Linked DNA regions of Anolis sagrei. The protein of the gene in region 2 interacts with the protein of the main gene of each other region in a pairwise test. Links are inferred from orthologs where the notes say so. Each region holds a gene or a part of one and is shown on either strand. Other genes may lie near its edges. The genes, in order: AGGF1 and MAB21L3.

Evidence for each region.
Region 1: the proteins of MAB21L3 (region 2) and AGGF1 interact in binary tests that used the Homo sapiens proteins (3 or more experiments, as listed by UniProt). The two-hybrid records come from large-scale screens. The link is inferred for Anolis sagrei from reciprocal best matches to the Homo sapiens genes MAB21L3 and AGGF1.

The regions. Positions count from the first base shown.
Region 1 is NC_090022.1:264,723,328-264,736,340, reverse strand, and holds the start of AGGF1 (angiogenic factor with G patch and FHA domains 1), read right to left. Parts: upstream 4,892-13,013; 5' UTR 4,593-4,891; coding exon 4,455-4,592; intron 1,000-4,454; coding exon 897-999; intron 1-896. UniProt on the Homo sapiens protein: Promotes angiogenesis and the proliferation of endothelial cells. Able to bind to endothelial cells and promote cell proliferation, suggesting that it may act in an autocrine fashion.
Region 2 is NC_090022.1:166,384,730-166,397,592, forward strand, and holds the start of MAB21L3 (protein mab-21-like 3), read right to left. Parts: upstream 5,676-12,863; 5' UTR 5,577-5,675; exon of another isoform or gene 5,441-5,576; intron 5,224-5,440; 5' UTR 5,119-5,223; coding exon 5,071-5,118; intron 4,526-5,070; coding exon 4,385-4,525; intron 1,854-4,384; coding exon 1,782-1,853; intron 1-1,781.

The DNA.
Region 1 (13,013 bases), about 98 Mb from region 2:
AAATAAAAATTCAAAAACAATATAGCTGTACTGCAGCATAAAAAGGAAAGATGAATGGGGAAACAGTCTGTTAAACTAACTGAGCTTTTGTAGCTTTATTTATTTATTTATTTACCTTACTTATATACCGCTGTTCTCAGCCCGAAGGTGACTCACAGCGGTTCACAACAAATACAACAAATACAAACAGCAAAAATTCAGTGCTACAGTATAGAAACAGTTAACAACCTAACACATTACACATTCAATACACTTCCTCATATGCCCAAAGAACTGGTCTGCAATCCACAAAAGTTCATACTGAAATACACCAATTGGTTTCCCCTTTCTATTTTATAATAAAAATATTCTATGATTCTATGATTTTAGAGATCAGGGTCACAGATAAAACAATCTGTAAACAAAACAAACACAGAGCAGGAAAAAACTTGTGAGCAAAAGACATTCAGTTTATGAAGCTACTCTTACATCATAGGGCAAAATGTTCCACAATACTTGTGCAGTCAGTGAGAAGACCTTGTCTCTTATCATCAGCTGGGCACATGGAAAAGCAATAAGAACACATACATAAGCCTCTTTGCCACTGTAGTTTCAAATGTAGTCCCACACTGAGGATATTACATCAATCCAACCTTGATTCTTTACATCAAGATTTAAATTAACATTTTACCAAACTGTAGGATTACATGAAAACAAGGACTACTATAGAACACAATTAAATCAGCCAGGAAAAACCAATATGGCAGAATGTTCTGAATACTGGCATTCCCATAATAGAGCAGCAGAATTAATTTAGTTATTTCTGTTACATATGTACATTAGGAAACAAAGCTACAAGTTTAAGGTTACTGAGCAAACCATGAGTACTTCATTAAGTCGCACCATTGGCTAGCTACCTGAATCTGACCATGATGAAACATCTTCTGTCTGTACTTCTACAGTGCATGTTGCCTTCTTGTTTCCTTTGCTCTCACTGATTTTCTTATTCAGTTCTTCAACCTAAAAAAAAAAACGTATTTAGAAGCTGGATGAGGGAAAATCAGAAAGACTGGCAGGAACACTTTAAAGACATCAGTGGTGGTGTACATACTTTTTATGCATAAAAACAAAGACTTGTTGGTCAAGGAAGTACAATTCTCCACCTACTTGCTATGTCGAAACCTTACAAAGTCATGTATATCAGTACATAACTGCTAGTTTCACAAATATGACCATGGGTGAAAAGGGGACAAGTGCTATCTCTGGGCCCTCCATGGCTGTCAGCAATCAGTATATGGTAATTTAATGAGGAGGGCAAATTCTGATATGCAGTACAACTATCCCTGTCACTTGACTATACCAACATAGAACAATATAGGTCCTCTGTAGGAATTTTCTGGATTCTCCAGATAATGTTATGGCATGCGTAAGGAAAGATGACAAACTGAAGAATGGAAGAATTCAAAATCTGAGGGAGGACATAGAAAGGTATTAGGTACATACACTAACAAGGAAATGGGTGACAGAAATTGGCAGGTTGACTTTAAGGGTACAAATATGAATTGATCTAAGTCTTCACTAGAATTTATACTTGGAACCTGCTCGCTAACCCCTAGTCCTGGAATTTGACGAGCAAAAACAAATAAAGAGTTTTCCTTCACGTCACAAATAAGAAACTACTACAAAACCCCAAGTAATCTCCACCAAGATAAAAGCTTTCAGACAGGCACTAGCATTTCATTTTTTCAAAAAACGGCTACATGACATGAGTGGAGTTGGTGACCAGGTTGGAGACAGACAGGATGAGGGCAAAACACAAGAAACTGGAATAAACTGCAGAGTAACAAACAGATGCCTTGCCTATATGGCCACTGCCCTACAATGCAATAGCTAGAACACCAAAAGCAGGAAGCCCAAATACACAACTCTATTTAATCATATAGTTAATATATTTTATTTAATTATTTTAATTTATATTCCAAATTTCACTCATATGGGACCCAACGTGGCTTAATTCTTGGATGTCAAGTTCCCTTATCCTAACCTATCTCACAAGGTATGGTAGTTGTAGGACAGGGCAAGATCTGGAAACATGTATGCTTCTGTAAGTTTCCTTGAAGAAATGGCAAGATATGATAAATGTAAAAGATATAAAATAGAAAGCAATTTTTACAGATCTGTTCTTTTTACTCATCAGATGAAGGAAATCTGTTCTCCAGATGCCGGAATAGTAACTCCCACAATCCTTGGCCATTGGCCATGTTATGTGGGAAGATGGGATATGCCACTGGCCACTTCTGACCTAAATTAATCCAACAGAGCACTCTGGGCAAGGCAAAAACAGAGCAGAATGGTTTTCCCCCCCAGAATAGGAACATTACTGAGGGAAGCTATGCTAGAGGAGGAAGAGGAAGGGGTGGTTATGCAACAGTTTGTTGTTGTGATTGTGTGCCTTCAAGTCATTTCTAACTTATCATGGGGTTTTCTGAGAGTGTGTGACTTATCCAGGATTTTTAGTTTGTTGAAGCACCATCACTCCTTGGCAGAGAAGAACTTGTAAAACTACAATGGCCAAGATTCCATAGCACTGAGCCATGGTAATTTTTATTTATCATGTCAGAAGCAAATTGAGATTACAGTTATAATGTATATTTTAAAAAAGCCACAAACAAAGTTAAAAACTAAATTTCCTATGACCAGAAGCTGACCACTTGGAGTGCTTCTAGTGTCACTGTGAGAAGGTCCTCCATTGTGCATGTGGAAGGGCTTGGCCCCATGTAAGCCACTCCAAGTCGCCATTGGGGAGATGGTGGTAGGGTATAAATAAAGATGATGATGATGATGATGATGATTATTATTATTATTATTATGTGGGTAGCTGTGGGTTAGTTATGGGATCCATACTGAGTGGTGTCGGAGGTCATGGAGGTTGGGTTCATGGGTGTGGGGTTAGAGCAGTGTTTCTCAACCTTCCTAATGCCGCGACCCCTTAATACATTTCCTCATGTTGTGGTGACCCCCAACCATAACATTATTTTGCTACTTCATAATTGTAATTTTCCTCCTATTATTAATTGTAATGCAATTATCTGATAAGCAGGATGTATTTTCATTCACTGGACCAAATTTGGCACAAATACTCAATATGCCCAAAATTGGATTGGGGTGGGGTTGGGGGGGATTGATTTTGTCATTTGGGAGTTGTAGTTGCTGGGATTTATAGTTCATCTACAATCAAAGAGCATTCTGAACTCCAGCAATGACGGAATTGAACCACACCTGACACACAAAACTACCATGGCCAACAGAAAACACGGGAAGTGTTTGGTGGGCATCGACGTTGAGTTTGGAGTTGTAGTTCACCTACATCCAGAGAGCACTGTGGACTCAAACAATGGTGGGTCTGGACCAAACTTTACATGAACACTCAATATACCCAAATGTAAACAATTGTAGAGTTTGGGGAAAATAGACCTTGACATTTGAGTTGTAGTTGCTGGGATTTATAGTTCACCTACACTCTAAGAGCATACTGAACCCCACTAACAATTGAATTGGACCAAACTTCCCACACAGAACCCCCATGACCAACAGAAAATACTGTGTTTTCTGATGGTCTTTGGCGACTCCTCTGACACTCCCTGGCAACCCCGCCAGGGGTCCCGACCCCCAGGTTGAGAAACACTGGTTAGAGGGACAATAAATGTTAAGGTATAACTGTACAGTCGAAGTTGATTTTTCATATGCTTAATGAGCACTGACTGTATACCATTCTGTAAACTTGCATACTCTTTTGTATATTATTATTATTATTATTAAACTTTATTTGTACCCTGCTAACATCTCCCAGAGGATTCGATGCGGCTTACAACAGGCCGAGGCCACAACAATACAACATAACAATACAATCAAGCAAATCAAACAATTAAAACAAATTAAAGCAAAAATAAACAACAAGCACAGTACATTAAAACACAGTAAAACTGGGCTGGGCCAAAAGGTGGGTACAAGGATTAAAAGTGCTGATTTGACAGGAGGTGCATAAAGGGTTTTTAGGGCAAGTGCGATGTGCAATGTGCAGCAATCATTGGTTCTGGTAAAGTGCTTGTGGGTATATCTTTTTTTCTGGGGGGGGGGGGGTTGTATTTTGTTTTGTTTTTTGGGGTTTTTTTCTCTGGTGTCGGTTTTGTTCCCTGTGTGCACATAAATCAATAAAAAATTTTGAAAGTATGCTACAATTTCTTTCTCTCTGTTAGTTTTATAGGCGCTAGAACAGGCATAAGCAAACTTCAGCCCTCCAGGTGTTTTGGACTTCAACTCCCACCATTCCTAACAGCCTCAGGCCCCTTCCTTTTCCCCCTCAGCTGCTTAAGCGGAAAAGGAAAGGGCCTGAGGGTGTTAGGAATGGTGGGAGTTGAAGTCCAAAACACCTGGAGGGCGGGCCCAAGTTGGTCCATGCCTGGTGGAGCTGGTACCTGTCTCCTCCACTTGGCCGCAGCAGCTTGGGCCTTGAGGCGGCGCTTCTTCTCCCGCTCCAGGCGGCTCCGACAGGCGCCCACCTCGGCCTCCAGCGCAGCCACTTCCTCTCGCAGCGTCTCCAGCTCGTCTGCCATTCTTGTGGCTGCCTTCTCTTGAAGGGGCGGAAGCAGAGGCCTCCTCAGCGAGCCGGACTGAGACGCAGCGGCCGGGAGAAGGAGGAGGAGGAGGCGCGGCAAGAAGGGAACAGGCCTCCGCCTCCAACGCCCCTCGGCGCTGCCATGGCAACGGCCGCGCGAGAGGGTGGGAGGGGGCGGGCCCAAGGGTTCCCTCCCCTCTTCCGCCGCTTTCCTTGCCGGAAAATAAACAAGCGCCACTTGACTCTGAAAACTTTCTTGAGGACCACCACAAGCCCCGGATGTTGCTCCTAGCCAAGGAGGAAGTGACGTTAGGCAGAGGCGTAGACGTCATGCGGGGAGCGTCTGTCAGTTTAAACTCTTTCCCTAGAGTTTTGGACTTCAACTCCCAGAATTCCTCACCGTTGGCCTACTGGGCTGAGGCTTCTGGGAGTTGAAGTCCGGCCAAGGATTGCCAGGCGTGGGCAAACTTTGGCTCTCCATATGTTTTGGACTTCAGCTCCCAGAAGGCCTACTTAGCTGAGGCTTCTGGGAGTTGAAGTCCTAAACTCTTAAAACAAGCCAAAGGATTGCCAAGTCCAAAATGGATTGAGTAGATAAAACTGGTGGCCTACTTGGATTGCCAGGCGTGGGCAAACTTTGGCTCTCCAGATGTTTTGGACTACAGCTCCCAGAATTCCTCGCTATTGGCCTACTTAGCTGAGGCTTCTGGGAGTTGAAGTCCTAAACAATTGAACAAGCCAAAGGATTGCCAGATATGGGCAAACTTTGGCCCTCCAGATGTTTTGGACTTCAACTCCCAGAATTGCTCACCGTTGACCTACTTGGCTGAGCCTTCTGGCAGCTGAAGTCCTAAACACGTGAAATGACCAAAGGATTGTCAGGTGTGGGCAAATTTTGGCCCTCCAGGTGTTTTGGACTTCAGCTCCCAGAATTCCTCACTGTTGACCTACTTGGCTGAGGCTTCTGGGAGCCGAAGTCCTAAACACTTGAAAGGGCCAAAGGATTGCCAGACATGGGCAAACAACCCCCCCCCCCCCCCGATGCTTTGGACTTCAGCTCCCAGAATTCCTCACTGTTGGCCTACCTGGCTGAGGCTTCTGGGAGTCAAAGTTCTAAACACTTGAAAGGGCCAAAGGATTGCCAGACATGGGCAAACTTTGGCCCTCCAGGTGTTTTGGACTTCAGCGCCCAGAATTCCTCACTGTTGGCCTACTTAGCTGAGGCTTCTGGGTGTTAATAATAATAATACTTTATTTATACCCTGCCACCATCTCCCCAAGGGAACTCGGGGCAACTTACATGAGGTCAAGCCCAACAACAACAAAGCAAATATATAACATAAAAATACAGCAATAAATTATAATGAAAATAATAATGCAAAAAACAATACAGAGTAAACACACAATGCAATATAAAATCACAATAATTAGGCACAATGGGCAAGGCCAGTTGCAAAGATTACAACGTTTAAAAACGCTGGGTGAGATGAGCAGTGTAGTGTATCTGGAAGGAAGTTCAGGTGGGACAAAACAATGGGGTTGAAGGCACACTGGAACAGCCAAGTCTGGAACAGGCTCTTCCTGAATGCTGCCAGGGTGGGCGCTTGCCTAATTTCTCCGGGGAGTGAATTCCAGAACTGTGTTGAAGTCCTAAACACTTGAAATGAGCCAAAGGATTTCCAGGCGTGGGCAAATTTTGGCCCTCCAGGTGTTTTGGACTTCAACTCCCAGAATTCCTCATCGTTGGCCTACTTGGCTGAGACTTCTGGGAGCCAAAGTCCTGAATGCTTGAAACGGTGTTGACAGCCCATGTTTACCTATGCATGATCTACACTGCAGAATTAGTGCAGTTTGACACCACTTGAACTGTCATGGCTCAATGCTATGGAACCCTGGTGGTTGTAGTTTCACAAGTACTTTAACCTTCCCTGTCCAAGACTACAGGTTCCTCACCAAACTCCCACGATTCCATAGCATGGAGCCATGGCAATTCAAGTGGTGTCAAACTACATTAATTCTGCCATGTAGATGCAACCATCAAGGTTATTAAGATCTTCCGGAGGGGCCCTGCTCTTGGTCCCACCACCTTCGCAATCACGTTTGGTGGGGACGAGGGACAGGGCCTTCTCGGTGGTGGCTCCTCGGCTTTGGAACTCCCTCCCACTAGAGATTAGATCAGCTCCCTCCCTCCTGACCTTCAGGAAACTAATAAAGACCTGGCTTTGGAATGTGGCATTTGAGGACTGAATCTATAACCTTCGTCCACATGGAAGGAGGATGATGAACTGTGACTGTGACTGTATTGACGATTCGGCTTGGGTAATGTGATGATGATGTTTTTTACTGTACTTATATTTTAATCTGTAATGATGATGCATTGTGTTGTTTTTGTATATTATTGTATTTGAACACATGTTGTGAACTGGCCTAAGTCCCTCGTTCGAGGTGAGAAGACCGGTATATAAAACTTCTAAATAAATAAATAAATAAATAACCTGTATTTCATTTTTTTTTTTTTACAAAGTTATGGATTTTTTGTTTCAAACGTCTTAGTTCTTCCATTAATCTCCAGTAGGTGGTGATAGGGGACTATTAACTGTGATGGTGAAATCTTGATTTGCATTCTAGCAAGGCCTCTGACTTCACACTAGGACCTTTTCTTTAAGAAAAAGAAGTTTTGCGTGATATTTTCCTGTTGCAAAATAACAAACTACTTTGAAAGATGCAAAAAGGAGGGAGATAAGGGTGTTTCTGAAGCTATTGTTTTGCAGGGTTTTCAAGACCATATGATTTTCTTTTTCTCTTCTTACTTACTTAATGATTTTATTAATTAGAAAATGTTAACAAAAATATTTTTTTAAATACTATATTATTTTCTTCCCCACCTGCAGAAGTAATAGGGGCTTAAGATCTGCAACTGTCAGGCAGAAATCAGGTTGTATCTACACTGAAGAATTAATGCAGTTTGACAGCACTTTAACTGCCATGGTTCAATGCTCTGGAATCCTGGGAGCTGTAGTTTCACAAGATCTTTATTTTTCTCTGCCAAAGAGTGATGGTGCCTCACCAAACTGCAACTCATATTATTCCATAGCATGGAGCAATGGCAGTTAAACTGGTGTGAAACTGCATTAATTCAACAGTGTTGTAGATGCACCTTCCATCAACTCAGGTTTGATTGGTTGGTTTTCAAGCTAAGTTTGTGTTCTCTGCATTCCAACCTGGCAGTTGCAAATAGTTATTTATGTCTCCCATAGGTTGTATAAATATTGACGTATTTGTGTATTTTCTTGTTTTTTGTCCTTTACTGTTGATATGGTCAGTGGACTAATCAATGAATTTTACTGTCGACATATTTGAGGTAAAATGGTTTATATTTCTGTAGTTAACTAATTTTTAAAAATTCTGGTAAAATACTACCTGCAGCTAATTTCCTTCTCAACTTCCAAAATTACACTATGTATGATTAATTAATTAATAATTTTATAATTTTTGAAACGTTGCTCCCATTGTTAATGGTATGATTGAAGTCGAAATTAAGCTGGCTGCAAAGGAGTGGTGTGGATCTATTGTCTGGTGCACATTGCTACTTTGACAGCCAGATGCTGAGTAAGTAGTAAAGGCAAGTGGTATGAAGGCAATAGACATAAGTTTATTAACTTTCAGGCCTGAAAGGATGTCTTTCAGAGTCTCCACTCTAAAACATACCCATGCAAGGTAGTGCAAGACATTTTATTCCCTGTGATAAAAGTTTTTAAAACTCGCCAATCAAAAGACCAGCTCCCCCCCCCCCCCTGATTGGCTCAAAAATGGTCAAGTTAGGATCTGGGCTTTCATTGGCTGGGGACTCCTGCTGGCATCAGAGATGGATGGAGTTTCCCCCATGGTGTGAAGAATAGAGAGCTGTCATTTGTTCATTTGAAGACAGAGCATTTCAAATAGTTTGCCCAGGCTGAGCTAATCACATGGATTAAGGCAATGCAAAGAGTCTGTGATAGGGTAATTATATAAATAATGCACAAAAGGAGTCAGCCTCTGAAACAATGAAGAGGGTCATGCAAGCCCAGACAGTTCAATGAAAAGCAGACAGAACAATACAGACTTTATCAAGGCACAGTTTGTGTCTGATATTTCTAAATACCTGGATATCCTCAGGAGACTGACTTTCATTCATCCTCATCACATGGGCTTTCAGTACTGTCCTAAGATGCTGCTGAGATGCAGACAGGACAGAGCCCAATGGAGCCCATTACATGATGCATGACTGTTTCCAGTGAGGCTCCATGCCAGCTCTGTGCACGCAGCATGCTAAGCGCCAGTTCTGAGAACACAGGAGACTACCTGCGTTCTCATAGAACAAATCGAGGACAAGGCAGGAGCAAGCTGGGGACAGATGGATTTCACTGTGGGATGGCAAGAGGACAATGCAGGGTGCTGCACAACGATTTACCAAGCCGCACAATGATTTACCAAATCACACTTTCGAACTTCTGATGAAAGCAAAGGAACCACTTCTGAATAAATATTGTCAAGAAAACACTATATTAGGTTTGCCCAAGTGTTCCCACAAGTTAGCAATGACTTGAACAACACAACAACATTCCATTTTGCAATAAGTTCATTTCAATCAGAATTTAATGTAAGTCGTTGATTAGTATAGCTGTTACATTCATAAGTTCTTTTGAATATTTTTACACTTTTTTGGCTGCAGACTCCCGCCAAAGAGGCTTAGTTTGAGAATGCCTCTATTGGGACCAGCCAAATTACCACTCATGTGTACAAAGTTTCAATTTCTCCAGAATTCTTTAGCCTAAATCAACAGTTTATAACCTTTTTTTTTTTTTACCAAGGTCCCCCTTAAAATATCTAGTTGCTGCAGTCCACTCATGATTTGAAAGCTTAAAGTGCATCAAATATTTATTTAAAGTTGTTCATCAGATTTGGAGAGACCAGAGAAAGAAGTAAGTTCTCACATTAGTGTTATAATATTTTACCTGGAACAATTTGCTAAAAATTAAAAAATGTTGTTGTTATTTGTTCAGTCGCCTCCAACTCTTCATGACCTCATGGACTAGCCCTCACCAGAGCTCCCTGTTGGCCATGGCCACCCCCCTTCAAAGTCAAGCCAGTCACTTCAAGGATGCCATCCATCCATCTTGCCTTTGGTCTGCCCCTCCTTTTCTCTTCCATTTTCCCCAGCATCATTGTCTTCTCAAAGCTTTCCTGTCTTCTCATTATGTGGCCAGAGTACTTCATCTTTGCCTCTAATATCCTTCCCTCAACTGAGCAGTCAGGCTTTATTTCCTGGAGTATGGACTGGTTTGATCTTCCGGTCCAAGGCACTCTCAGAATTTTCCTCCAGCACCACAGTTCAAAAGTATCTATCTTCCTTTGCTCAGCCTTCCTTATGGTCCAGCTCTCACATCCATAGGTTACCATGGGGAATACCATTGCTTTAACTATGAGGATCTTTGTTTCAAGTGTGATGTCTCTACTCTTCATTATTTTATCGAGATTGGTCATTGCTCTCCTCCTAAGAAGTAAATGTCTTCAGATTTCCTGGCTGCAGTTTGCATCTGCAGTAATCTTCACGTCTAGAAATACAAAGTCTGCCACTGCCTTTATTTGCCAGTTATCAATCATTCTGGTTGTCATAATCTTGGTTTTTTATGTTTAACTGCAACTCAGCTTTTGCATTTTCTTTTTTTTATCTTGGTTATAAGGCTCCTGCTGCCTCATAATTAGCAATGCTTCTTAAAGGCCCATTCAACTTTACTCCTCAGGATGTCTAGTTCTAATTCACTCACCACACTATCAAAGCTCTCCTCAATATTATTATACTTCTGAATAGTCTCATCAACTTCTCTTGATCTCTTCAGCTTCTGTTAGGTCCCTGCCATCTTTGTTTTTGATCATGCCCATTTTTGCCTGAAATTTACCTCCAATGTTTCTAATTTTCTGGAAGAGGTTTCTTGTCCATCCTATTCTGTTGCATTTCACTTGCAGGCTTTTTGAAACTTGTATTGTGAATTCTGATCCTATGTTTTTCAAATGATTTTATGTTTATGTATTTGTAAAATAAGGACCAAAAATTATTTTTCATGTAAGCATATCATTTCAAAAAGCATCAATACTTCCCTAAGCCTCTTTGATGGCACTGGAATATCTGCTTGTAAGTGAGCCCAGAAATTTGGAAGGGACTGGTGCTTGAATTGCAATTAGGGAGCACCATCCGTGAATATTTCTATTAGCTTGTCCTCTGTTGCTGTGATCCCATCTCATTCACATACATTAACTGAATATGGATCTTGAATCAGGTTTGTACTTGCATCAGAAACAGACAAATATTCATGGAAGCTATGTTGCAAAACTTTCAAATGCGAAGTGATAAGTGATATATCCTTCTCAGACAACTTTTGGCAGTGGAACCAATACTTTTCTGAGGTTTGGAAATGTCTCATAGTTTCGGCTCAATAGGTGATGGACAATTCCATTTTTATATCATTGCTTCAATCTTGTCTTCACTTTAGAAACTATAAGTTTTTCCCATGAATATTTGGGTCTATTTAAAGACTGAAAATATGTGACAGATATGCTAATTTAAAAACCAAAATCTGTCAAGCGATTGCTAAGGCGAAATTGCTGCTCCATGAAGAATACAAATGCAACAAAACTTTAGCTAACTATAGCAAACAAACTTCATAGTATAGTAAAAGTTAGTGGTGTTCACTGTGCATATCTTTGGGAAGTTGCTCAAAAAGTCTTTAATTCAGTGATTTGCCTTTTTATAAAATTGATGAATTTGACAGATTCATTTAAGGCACTTAAGCTGTGGGTATCAACCCCAAATGGGGTCCCCTTGATTCAATGATGGCAAAAAAATGGCTCTGATTTAAGATATGTTTTAGTTTTTCTAGTATCTTCTTAGTAACGAGGGCTGCCCTAAGTTTGCAACAATGATACCAAGTCACTAACAGTATGTTTGAAAGTAATGAGTATCCCACTCCTTCTTAACTAAGATTCTTAAAGAAGACTTTCAAAGCGAATAATTAAAGTCACTACCAGGTGTTGCATATAATTGGGTTACACCTAGCAATGCATTTTGAGGCAATGAAATAATGAGTCATCGCCATTTTTGGAATGGAGTCCAGCTGCAACATTTGCTGAATTTTTAAATATCTGTTGAAGTTTATATCCCAGCTTTGATGCAATGAGTTCAACATGACATCCAATGGGTGCTTGGTAAACTACTGAGATTTGGTTCCAGGACCTTCTGTGGATACAAAATCTGTGACTGCTTAAGTCTTATTATATACCATGACATTGCAAAATGATGTTCCTTATATAAAATGGTAAAATAAAGGTTTGCTTTGGCTTTTTAAAGAAATATTTTCAAACTGTGAATGGTTGAATTCATGGGTATGACGGCCTGATTGTACATGGTTCTGTTCTTTCCCACATTATTTCCACAACATGCTTATGGGATAGATCGGACTGAGTGTGAGTTTGTGTCCTATGGTCACCAAGTGCCTTTCAGGTTCTATGGACTTGAACCTAATCTCCCACATCACCTTGGCTCTCCCATGTAGACATAAAACAGAAATGGAAAAAAAAAGTGTAGTTGCAAATCCGGATATTAATTTTAGACAGTACCGGGGGGGGGGGGGGGGGGTGTCAAATAGTACAAAATGTCTAATGGTTAGACAGAAAGAAATCCTCAATGTAAAGTCCCTTTTCGGGTAGTTTTCTGTAATTACCTGGTCATAGAATAGATTGCCTTTATGTTATTACATGCACATGTTCATTTGCCTGGACAGACCTTTTTCCCCCAACCATTCAGGTGTGTACTGGAGGAAATGTTTCCTGTCTCTTGCAAATGAAGGTGCTGCCATTGACCCTCCTGCATATTTCTTTAACTTGGAAGTTCTGTAAGGTCCCTCGTCAACTTGTGGAAGCAATCAATGCATGAGTCACCATGCTGACTTGACTCACAGCATATCTAGTAATAACAGAAGAAAGGAACACATGCTATGAATATTTTTTATCAGCAATTACAGCTTGGACCCTTTTCTGCCAAAGGGCTAATTTACCAGAGGATACAGAATTCATTTTTAAGGCAGTTGCCATCATGTAAGAATAAAAGGCTGTGTCTCAAAGGTATGTCTTTTAAAAGTATTGTTCAAAGTTAGCACTCTTTAGAGTTAGCGGATGGCAGACAGGCAGGTAGGTGGGGAGGGGGGGAGCAGGATCAGATTATGAAATGCTTTCTACATACAAATATGTACAGAACCAAGCAGCAGCCATTCCACCAGGCTGTAGATAGGGGAAATGAAGCAAAGTAGGTTCAAAATCAGCCTTCCTGATTGTCAAATTTAATCTCTTACTTATTGTTGCCCAGCAGCTATTCCACCAAGCTAAG
Region 2 (12,863 bases):
CGGCTCAGCGGTTTAACCCACTGTGCTACCCTGTGCTCTGATACATAGTCATTGTGGCTATTATTATGATTTCTTACCTGCCCTTCCCATGGATTGAGGTGGAAAACAACAACAGATTAAAATAATCATACACAATATCAGTTTAAAACTAACATCAGTTAAAACACTGGTTTTATGATCACTTTAAAACAGGGGTCCTCAAACTTTTTAAACCGGGGGCCAGTTCACTGTCCCTCAGACCGTTGGAGGGCTGGACTATAGTTTTTTTAAAAAAGAAAATCAATAAAAAAATCCTATGCACATTGCACATATCTTATTTTGCTGTGTGGAAGAGGCCTTAGAGGGGTTTTATTCTAGCCCTCTTTAGGCAGTAATTCCAGGAGCAGAGAGTGGGAAATCTTCCTATTTCTAGTCTGAACAAAATCTGGCTACCAGTATTAAAAAAAATAATCTAAAATTATAACTGTAAATAAAGAACAACACTCAAACACAGGGGAACTCCAGACAAGAAACAATCAGGGCCGCTAATCACCTCTCAAAAAAGGATTCTCCCTAAAAACTGTCAGGCTATGAAATGGTAATCAAGGTGGCCAATTGAAACATTCACACCTACCTCCAACAGACAAGAGCTCTTTCTCCCACCCTGGATCTTGCACAATTTTCCTAGTTAAAGGTTTTCCTCTGACATGAAGTCCAGTCGTGTCTGACTCTGGAGTGTGGTGCTCATCTGCATTTCTAAGTCAGAGCCGGCGTTGTCCGTAGACACCTCCAAGATCATGTGGCCGGCATGACTGCATGGAGCGCCGGGGCAGCCTCCCTTGGCTGGCTCACGCTGCCCATCGGGCCCAATGGGCAGCATGAGCCTGCCAAGGGAGGAGCAGCCCCGCGCGGCCTACTCACGTGTAAAGCATCTCGCGAGGTGCTTTACGCGCAAGTACGCCACGCGGAGCAGCTGCCCTTGGCTGGCTCACGCTGCCCATCGGGCCTGACAGATAGCGTGAGCCTGCCAAGGGAGGAGCAGCCCCGCGCGGCTTGGCTGGCTCACGCTATCCGTCAGGCCCGAGGGGCAACGTGAGCCAGCCAAGGGAGGGGCGCTCCTCCTTCCCAGACCGGATAAGTGCCCTTGGCGGGCCAGAAGTGGCCCGCGGGCCGTAGTTTGAGGACCCCTGCTTTAAAAGAACATACAGTTTTATAATTACAGTCCAATGTTTAAAACTCATAATTTAAAACTCATACACTAAAAATCATTTGGGTGGGCTTGCCTAAAAAGGAATTGATCTATAGTGCTGTTTTATTTTTATAGCGTATTCAGATGTTTAGTCCTTTCTGACAGAAATTTCACTGTCTAAGGGTAGCTGAAGAAGAAGGTCAGTAGACCTTTAAACCTCACAGATTTAAAGCCATACATCTGCATCCACAACTCTCATGCTCTGTTCTTCATATGTGAGGGCTTAAAAAGAAGGGAAGGGTTCCACTGGTGCCAGTGAAAGGAGGATTCAGGAAAAACCTAGGGAGGGTGTTTTTAACTTCCTCTGCCTTTGCACAGCGAGCCTTATCTGTATCAGACCTAGTTGTGAGTAAATAAAGAAAGCAGTCTTCAATTGCATGTTATGAATTAAACAGGGCATGCGGTTTACTAAGGTGGCAGGCAAATTAGAAACTATGTTTCTGCTTTCAACACACATTTCAGGAAGAATGTGATGTCCATCTAATGAGGTATCGTTGAAAACAGAAAACAGAAATGAGGGAACTGGGGCAAAATCCATGCAAGGTGTTTGTACCTGGATGGATGGATGGAAGGGGCGCTTCCCCTGAAGTAGAGATGACCATTTGGCCAGTAAGGCTGGCTGATCCTGACAGAGGCAAAAAGGGAAACAAGAGATACAACAGAGGCAAAAAAGTGATTAGTGAGCAAAGTAATCAAGCAACAAGTGTTAATGCACATTTCTAATTGAAGTGATGCCCAAGAAAATCTGTAACTCTGAGGTATGACTTTTTCAAACTAGCCCAAGGCATGAAGCAACACACTATGCAATCCTGCCATGTTCTGAATCAAGCTACTTGTTGCTTTCATGTGAACTCTGCCTACCCTGCCAGTCCTTTATCTTTCTCATCTCCTCTCTTTGCCTCATCTGTCTGCTGTTCAGGTGAGAAAGGAATAGGTTGGTAGAGACGGAAAGCAGGCACATTACTACATCCTATGTACAGCTATGTCTGAAAATTTGAAATGCGTCCCTTAAAGCTCAAAACCCTCTTACATTTACCAAAATGTTACTGTAAGGTGGTTCCGACAAGACGTCATTCTGGAAATGCAGGTTTGGAATTGAAATGTGAGCCAAATCCAGCCTGAAAGCAGAAACAGTGATACCCTACCATTCTTTAGCTTCCAAGCAGAACTTACCCAATTAGTGTGTTTTTGGGGGAGCAATGTTGTTGAACTTCATTTAGACTTTCCCACTCCAACAGACAGACACTCCTGGCTAACACACAACGAGATCCCACTTCCACATGACATCCCAAACAGCACTGCACAGTTCAATACCAGGAATGCAGAGAAGAAAGATGGATTTCAGAATACAGCTCTTGCATCTTCTGCTTCCCAGATTAAATACACTACCCATCCTGACCTGGCTTCTTCTACTTCTCATACTGAGAAATAGGGAAGGGCAATTGTGTTCACACTCCTGTTTCATAGGCTGCAGGAATTAGCTGTGCTCCCTCAAAGTACTTGATTCTCAGCATACCCTTCTCTCCTATATAAGCCCTGGCTTCCATAGAGACAAAATACATAGAGGAAAAAATGTCATCAGGGAAGCTTCTTCCCACCCCCATTATAATATAATGAAGCTGAGTGATGGGAAGGAAGCAAAGCTTGGTAGATGAAGGGAATGTTGTGGATGTAGCATATCCTGATTTCAGTAAGGCCCTTGATAAGATCTCCCATGACATTCTCACAGAGAAGCTAATAAGGTTTAGCAGATTTAGCAGTCAAAGGCAACACACCCTTTAAACTATGGTGGATCCTAGACATAGGATCCTGACACTGAGACAGCATGGTGGCACACATGAGCAGGAGTGTTCTTGTACTCATATCCTGCTTGAATGCTTCCCATTTGGAAGCAACTGGTTTATAGCACTTATATGTTTATAGCACTTCCATATAATATGATAGATGTATGCATCTATCATATACTACTGGAGTATGTGTACAAAGTGAATCTTTGAACACAACCTGAAATACATACGTTTGTAGCAGAAGCTTTCACAGACTGGATCTACTTTATTAGATGCATGGAATATATTCCTTCCTTGGCTCCTGGTTCTTTTATGAATGCTGCCCACAGCCCAATCCTGCATATGTCTCATTAAGGCTGCTGCACTGTAGTTTTGCAGAAGCAAACAGAGAGATGCACAAACTGGGGACCTCATCCCACCAGTGGGGGGAAAGTGAGGGAAAGTGAAGGGAACAGAATTACCCCTTTCCCTCCTGTCTTTTGCCATCTTCTGAGATGGCCAGCCATCCCTCGTCCCTCCTGTATTGAGGTCCATACCCCTCCACCGCCTGCTTTCTGTCACTTTCTTATTTGGGGATTTCAGGCTTCATTTCCAAAGGAAGACCCACAAAGTCTCACCCTGTGATGACCTCCATGGGACTCCTGTGGAGCTCTGTTTCCAAAGCGGATGGAAATGGAGCCTGAAATACATGGGTTGAAGTCCTGGGCCAGTTCTAACATTCCACCTGTGGCTGATCTGGCCACGCAACATCTGTCTGGATTATTGTAACATGTTCCAAGCTTCAGGTTGCCCAAAGTGTTGCGACTAGATTGTTCATTAGGATTGGTCACAGGGTTCATGCAACTTCCTTACTGCAACAGGTCCACAAGCTGTTGATCAATTTCTGGGCACAATTTTGGTAAATACTGGTAATGACTCATATAGCTATATCTTTCCATCTGATCCTCCCCAGGTACTGGGTTCCTCAGGAGAGGATCTTTTGTCCATTCCACCATAGGTACTGAGCCTATAAGGTATCTTTCTCTAGATTTTGGAACAACTTTCTAAGGAAGTTAGAATAAACCCCTTTGCTGTCCTTCATTTAGCTGGGAAAGACTTCTCTATTCCAACAGGAGTTTTAAAACGAGGATTTAAAAGAAAGGGCTCTTAACAGTATGCTATATTGCTTTAATTGTACTGTGTTGTTGTTGTTTCTTAAAGAGATTTTTAAAATATTTTCCCTAGCTTTAAGGGAAAAAACAGACAAAATATATTAATAGTAATGATAATAATGATGTAAAGTATGGTTTTACCCTTGAATGGATCTGAGCATTGACTCAATTACTCATTCACTGAACACATACACTGGCAAAAGAACCTCCACTCTTACCTTCATGTTCTCATTATGAATGCCAGAGTTGGAAATTGCTTGGAAACGGGGATCCTTGTTGCTAATATCTGTGGTTAGCCGCTGTATGATTTTCTGCACTTCATCCACAATTTTGGAGACCACTCGGTGCCTCACATCCACCTGCAGATATAACCCAGCAGTTATATTACTTTCTTGCAACATCTCCAGTCCACATGCTACCAGGCATGTAGCTGGGGGGGGGGGGGGGGCCTCGAGGGGCTTCAGCCCCCCCCCCCAAAAAAATTTGTCATGGTGGTTCGCGAAAAGGCCTTATTGGTGCATTATTTAAACTGTTATGTTTATTCATATCATGATCTGATCACCATACTCAATATATCCCATATGCATGGGGGGTATTGGCGTAATGATACAAAAGGTTTGCTAGGGTAGACCCTCTTTCACTCAGACTCAGCCCTCCCAACTCAGCCCCCCCCCCGAAACCCCCCTGAAAAAAAATCACACACCCCCCCTCCCGAAACGAAATCCTGGCTATGGGCCTGCATGCTACAGGTAATATATTTGTACATACTGATAATAGGTAGCATATTTGTACATATTCTTGGACTTGGGGCTCAAGTAAAATTCCAAGGCCATAATCTGAAGATTCCTTCTTTGAGGGTTTGAAAACAAAATCCAGTTCCAAAAGACAAAAGGAGCATCCTTACCTTACTCTGAATGTATTGCTCTATAGCTTCTTCAGTGAGTTGCTTCATGGTAAGAACTGATGCTCCGTGTTTCTCCAGAGAAAGACTTCTGATGTTTCTGCAGGGATAACAATCCCAGTATATTCAACTCCACCTCAAAAATGCTTCCTTTTCCTGCAAATGAAGAAGTACGAATGGAATTCTTCCTTGGGTCCTGCATTTCAATTTTCAACCCCACTTAACATTCCCAATTTTTCCCCCACATTTGTTTGCTTTTCCTTTTGAGCCTTCACATAAGTAATAGAGACAGTTAGAAAGTTAGATTCTTTAATTTTAAATCAGAGCATTTAAAATCCCATTTGCACTTCAAAAATCAAAATTTCATGATCACCATGCATATTGTTTGTTCAGCCCAGAAAGTTTGCAAATTATCCAACTTCCTCCCAGTCCTTCTCCCAATCGCTCCTTATCACTTCTTTCTCTTTCCTGATATATTGACAGTAAATGCCACACCACTTGGGCCTTGCCTGCAGTTGGCTTTGCTTTCTTGACTGTAAACACACACTAAGCTGCCGCTTGTTAGCTGCCAGCTGCCCAAATAAGCCCACATACACAACATAAATTGTTCTGAAAGTGGAAATAATTGATCGGGCCTTTTATCAATCGAACAAGAGCGAGTGGCTTTTCGCAAAAGGTTTGCATCACAATGACAGGGACATAGGCGGTATATTCCAAACTACAAAAGGCCACTTCAAAACAAACAAGCAAACAGCTTTGCAGTGTGTTCCATTGGCAATCTTTTCCCCATTGTGTTGTTATAATGTCACAAGAGACTGGCAGGGCTTGGTGTCCTGGAGAAAAGTGCGTCACTAAAAGCAATTGGGCTTGGTCCTGATACAGATTTATTGTCTCCATCAACTAATCTGGGCAAAAGTTAAGTGATCTTGAAACTGTTCCTTGTTCATGAGACAGTGTTTTGTGTTTTGTACTCTGTATCTGTAGGGGCCTGGTAGGTTGAAGACTCTGCTTTAAGGATAAAGATTCACAGATTTTCAAATGGTGTTGCAATATGTTAGCGCGCTGGTTGAGGTCTGTAGGTGTGTTGCGCAAATGTAATGAAAATCCTCTGTGTCTATGTGAAATTCATCATACATTTTTAAACATATAAATGAAATATTTTAGCGAGATAGGTTCCATTTCATTTTTACAATAGTAAAAATAGTAAAATAGTAAAAATAGTAAAAAAATTTTTAGTAAAAATAGTAAAGAAATAGTAAAAGTAGCAGCCAATAGTGAAAGGACCAAGGCAGAGACATCTCCAGCTCATCCCCTGTTTGGATATCAGCCAGCACGCCAACGACTTAAATCTAGACATAGTTTTCTAAGATCTACAGAGACACTCGCTGGAACACCTCAGCAAGCGAGAGTCCAAAAGTGGCAGGCCCAAACCCAGCACCTCAACCAATGGCTGATACCAAATGAGAGACTCCCCCCTGGGCACACAGAGGACTGGGCGACTTGGAAGGCGCTGAACAGACTGCGCTCTGGCACCACGAGATGCAGAGCCAACCTTCAGAAATGGGGCTACAAAGTGGAATCCTCGGCATGCAAGTGTGGAGAAGAGCAAACCATTGACCACCTGCTGCAATGCAACCTGAGCCCTGCCACATGCACAATGGAGGACCTTCTTGCGGCAACACCAGAGGCACTCCAAGTGGCCAGATACTGGTCAAAGGACATTTAACCAACTACCAAACTCACTAGTTGTGTATTTTTCTGTCTGTTTGCTTGTTCTGTTAGAAATGTAATATATAATGGACTGGTTGCTCTGACACGACAAATAAATATTTTTACAATTTATGCATATGTCATCTCTTATAAGGGAGTTGATTTAACATAATTTTTATTTTATTTTATTTTATTATTACTATTATTATTTTAATGTCATTTTGATAATGTTGTTGTTGTCTGATGTATATGCTTTGATTTTATTGCTGTATGCACCGGGATTGTGGCGCAGCTGGCTGAGTGTCAGCTGCATTAAGATCACTCTGACCAAAAGGTCATGAGTTCGAAGCCAGCCCAGGTTGGAGTGGGTGTCCAGCCATTGTGTAGCCTGTTGTCAACCTTTGCAACCCGAAAGACAGTTGCATCTGTCAAGTAGGAAAATAAGGTACCACCTTGTGTGGGAGGCTAAATTAACTAATTTATGTGGCCATAAAGAAAAGACTCCGGGGAATGTGGAATGCGGAAGAACTTCTGTAATCTGGCCTGAGTCCCCTACGGGGTGAGAAGGGCGGAATATAAAAACTGTAAATAAATAAATAAATATTATTTTGTCTGGGCTTGGCCCCATGTAAGCCACTCTGAGTCCCCATCGGGGAGATGGTGGCGGAGTAGAAATAAAGATGATGATGATTATTATTATTAAGTTTGCTAGTAAAACTGAATTACCATGTCATGAAACGATGGATGTCTTAGTGTGTCACCAAAAATGAAGTGTTTGGAAAGCTCTGGATTGATTCCTTCCTCCATGCAGCCAATAACGGTGCTGTTGGTGCAGATTCTGATCTCTTAGGTCATCTCCCTTTTTCCATTCATGGTCATGCATCTAAAGTTATTCAGAAAAGGATGACCTCAAATAATGCTGCAGATTTTAATTGTTTGATATTCCTAGGATAGTTGACAGCTGCAATCCTTCCCGTTTGCTTTACAGTGTTTGGCTTCTCTTCCCTTATTGGAGAGCGCTGAAAATCCATCAACATCTTCCTTCTGAACAGTTGTGCATCTGGAGTAGATGGGAACTGGGTAGGTCATATTATTGGACTGCATACACAGCACTCTTTCCTTTTGCAGCTTTTCTTTTTATGTGAGAGTGATGTGCTTACTGCCATCATTTATTTGGCTATTGCTAAAAACAAAGTGAGAGAGGCATCCATGGGGCACCTGCCTGAATTATGCGAATGTCTTGGGGAATCAAAGAGAAAAGCTATCCACTCTTTTGGGACTTAGTGTGTAGAGGTAACTTGGGAAGTCATCTGATAAATTATGTTGACTGATATTGGCTCTAGCTTGGCATAGAGACAGTTGCAAAGGTAAACAAGTAGAGAACTGGCAAACACCCAACATGTAATTGAGGACACATCGATTCTGGACTAAATGAGGTGTTATTGTTTTGCCTGCCCTGTTCAGCATACCAGAAAGGTCAGGTTAAACATGTAGTGCATGAGTGTATTCAGTGTCTTTTTATTTCTGCTAAAAGCAGCCATGGAAGTATTGAGTTTGAAATGGGCTGTCACATGCCAATATTTATTTATTTATTTCCTTTTCTTTCCAAAAATTGTGTTATTAGTGGGTTGTTGTAGGTTTTTTTGGGCCATGGCCATGTTCTAGAGGCATCTATATATATAAATTTGTTAGGGGCATCCAACGAGGAAACAAAACGCAAAAACCCCCCAACGAAACTTAACCAAAATTCCCATGCCCATAACACAACCCACAAGGTACAAACATACCTACTCAAAATGAAAAACAACACAACAACACACTCACAAAACGGCAAAACAACAAAACTCAAAAATCCCCCAACGAAACTTAACTAAAATCCCCATGCCCATAACACAACCCACAAGGTACAAACATATCTACTCAAAATGAAAACAACACAACAACACACTCACAAAACGGCAAAACAGCAAAACTCAAAAATCCCCCAACGAAACTTAACTAAAATCCCCGTGCCCATAACACAACCCACAAGGTACAAACATATCTACTCAAAATGAAAAACAACACAGCAACACACTCACAAAACAGCAAAAGAACAAAACTCAAGAAAACCCCAACGAAACTTAACCAAAATTCCCATGCCCATAACACAACCCACAAGGTACAAACATATCTACTCAAAATGAAAAACAACACAACACACTCACAAAACGGCAAAACAACTGAGTATGCGCATTGGCGCCCAGCCGCAAGTTCCATCGCGCGCGCACATGGCCTTCCGGCCAACGTTCCCTCTGCGGAAACCATGCCCACTCCAAGCCCCACCGCGCCGCTTCCCGCACACACACACCCCCTGCCGCACACACACACACGCAACCCCACGCTCCATCACTCCCCCCGCCGCCGCACACACACACGCAACCCCAGGCTCCATCACTCCCCCCACCGCCGCACACACACGCAACCCCACTCCCCCCCGCCGCCGCACACACACACGCAACCCCACGCTCCATCACTCCCCTGCCCCAATCTTACCTCCTTTTACTTCAGGCCACCTCCAAACCCCACCCCGCCCCTTCCCGCCCTGTCAAAATCTAGGAAAGACAGGAAGGAAGGAAAGAAGGAAGAAAGAGAAAGGAAGGTAAAGAAAAAGGGGGAAGGAAGGAAAGTTAGAGGAAGAAGAAAAGGAAAGAAAAGGAAAGATGGAAGGAAAGAAAAGAGAGACAGCAGAAGAGAAAGAAAAAGGGGGAAGGAAGGAAAGAGATAGAGAAAGAAGAGGAGAAGGAAAGATGGGAAGGAAGGAAGGAAGGAGGGAGGGAGGGAGGGAAAGAAGGAGAGAAAGAGGGAAGATTGGCCACAGCAACATGTGGCGGGTAAAGGTTGTTATTTCTATTATTATGATGATGATGCTATTGTTCCTATGAGACCCTTTTAGGGGGAATGGGAGAGGTGTCAGGTCCCAGAGGCAATGCATTGCATTATTGTTATTGTTATGATGGTGGTGAAATAAAAGGAAATAAAAAGTGGAAGAAGGAAGCAAACAGGGCGGGAAGAAAGGCAAAGGAAGAAAGGGGGAGGGAATGAAGGAAAGAGAGAAGGATGAAACCAAGTAGTGAAAGAAGGAAAGAAAGAAAGAGGTAGAGAAGGAAGAAAGTAGAGAAAGGGGGAGGAAAAGGGGGAAGGAATAGGTAGGGACCTCTCTTTCATAATAGTCCAGATATCTACCTCAACTTTGATAAGTTTTACTATAGGCCACAGCAACGCGTGGCAGGGCACAGCTAGTATGTATATATATATTATATGGCCATGTTCTAGAGGCATATGTATATATTTATTATTATTTTGTTATTTACAGCTTTTATATTCCACCCTTCTCACCCCGCAGGGGACTCAGGGCGGATTACAGTGTACACATATGTAAGCTCACAGCAGCCGCTCCCAGAAAGGACACAGGACGCCAATCCGTAATCAATCAGGAAACTTTTACTACTGGATGCATATACACAATGAAAGCCAGGATTGGCACACGGACGCAAGTCAACTCTTATATACCCTCCCTCACATTCGAATCCCCTCTTCCCGCCTGACAAAGATCCCGCGCAATATTCCCCGCCAAACCACCAACGGCCCTCCCAAGGCCACCAGCTGCAATTCCTTATCAGTTCTCCATGTCAGGAATCCGGTTTTTTGCGCCAACGTCCAAGGCCAGGAAACCGAGTCCTGACATAATGTCCCCCTCCACCTCTTCTTCTTCCTGGAAGGGAAATATACGTCACCATTATGTCCCTTCTTTGTCTAGTGGGCCTTGGTATTTCTTTAGCAAATTACAATGGAATGTCGGATGTACCTTCCCCAATGTCTTAGGGAGTTTCAGAGTATATGTCACTTCATTTATTTTGCTAGAAATCCTAAAGGGACCAATATATTTGGGAGACAATTTCCGAGAGGGGGTATTTAGCTTGAGGTTTTTTGTGCTCAGCCATACTAAATCCCCCTCCTCCAACTTATCACCTTCCCTCCTCTTTCGATCTGCAAACAGTTTATATTTTCGTTGGGCCTCTCGTAGTGATTTTGCCACCTCCTCCCAGTTCGCCTTCATTTTGTCAGGCCATCCTTCCTTTCCCCCCAGCTCTTCCCCCCAACTCGGCAGTTTGGGTAAAGGGGTTACTTCCATGCCGTACACTATTTCAAAGGGGGATTTCCCTGTGGATGCGTGACAGGCTCCATTATACGCAATTTCTGCAAACGGGAGTAAATCGGCCCAATCGGTTTGGCATTGGTTTGTGTATGTCCTTAGGAACAGCCCCAAGGTTTGTTGCGTGCGTTCGACCCCCCCATTGGTCATGGGATGGAACGCTGAACTCAGGGTCCGTTCCACCCCCATCAACTGCATGAACTCTTCCCAGAACCGGGCCGTAAATCGCACCCCTCGGTCACTAATCACCTGGTCTGGACAACCATGTAACCGATAGATGTGTTTGATAAATAGCTCAGCCAATTTCTCTGCAGATGGTAATTTAGGTAGCGCTATGAAATGCGCTTGCTTTGAGAACAGATCCATTACCGTCCATATGTAACGTTGACCTCGGCTAACTGGGAGTTCGCCCACAAAGTCCATAGCAATTACCCTCCACGGTTGTGATGGTTCTGCCACCTTTTGCAATAACCCCGTTGGTTTTTGTGGGGTTGTCTTACTCTGTGCACACGCATCGCACCGGGATACATACATTTTGGTGTCATTCCTCATCCCTGGCCACCAACACTGACGTGCCAACATTTTTAGGGTTTTCGTTACTCCCCAGTGTCCCGCTCCCTTACTGCCGTGGCATCTGACCATCATTTTTTCCCTCAGGTTGCCTGGGATGTATAACTTTCTATGTACAAATCCCAACCCATTCTTCCATTCCACCTTTTCCTTGTTTCTTTCCAGCCACTCATCCTCCCTGCATGCCTGCCTTATCTCCTCCTCCCATCCTCCGTCTCTGCTCTCAACCCCCACCAGCCTCTGGCTGCGTTCCGTTTGCGCTCGTGTTTGCACTGCCATGCCCCACTGCCGTTCTGAGAATATGCTCCCCTTCGGGCTTCGCCCCCTCCCTTCATCCTCCGGCATTCTCGACAACGTGTCTGCGACCACATTTTGTTTCCCCTTTTGGAAACGCAGCTTAAAATCGAATCTACTGAAATACTGAGCCCATCTTATTTGTTTTGCTGACAGTTGCCTGGGTGAGGTGAGGTATTGTAAGTTTTTATGGTCGGTCCACACTTCAAAGGGGATGCCGCTTCCCTCTAGTAGGTGCCTCCACGTTTCTAGAGCCCTCACCACTGACAGAGCCTCCTTCTCCCACACCGGCCAGTTTCGTTCGGTTTCGCCGAACTTTTTTGAGATGAACCCGCAGGGTTTCAACCTCCCTTCTGGGTCTCTTTGCATCAGGGCCGCCCCGTAAGCCCAATCTGATGCATCACAATGGATTATGAATGGCTTGGTCAAATCGGGGTGGATTAACACTGGTTCCTCAGTGAACCTGCATTTCAGTTCTTCAAAAGCTTTTTGGCACTCTGCTGACCAATTTAGTTTCGCCCCCGGGGATCGCACTTTCACCGTTTCCCCCTTTCCCTTTGTTTTGAGCAGTTCAGTTAAGGGCAATGTTATCTGCGCAAAGTCCTCTATGAACCCCCGGTAGAAATTTGCAAATCCGAGGAATGATTGCAACTGTTTGCGCGTTTGGGGAGGGCTCCACCCCCTGACGTCCTCCACCTTTGCCGGATCCATTGCTATCCCTCCCTTGGATATCCGGTACCCCAGGAAGTCTATCTGTTCCTTATTGAACTCACATTTTGATAGCTTTGCAAACAGCTTTGCCTCCCTCAATTTCTGGAGTACCTCTCTCACCAATTTGACATGAGATCGTCTATCCCGGGTAAACACAATTACATCATCCACAAAACAAAACACCCCGCGATACAATAATGGGTGTAGCACCTCATTAATCATTTGCATAAATGCTGATCCAGAGCCTTTGAGCCCGAACGGACAAATTAAATATTCAAAATGGCCCAGCGCACAGGCAAACGCCGTTTTCCATCTG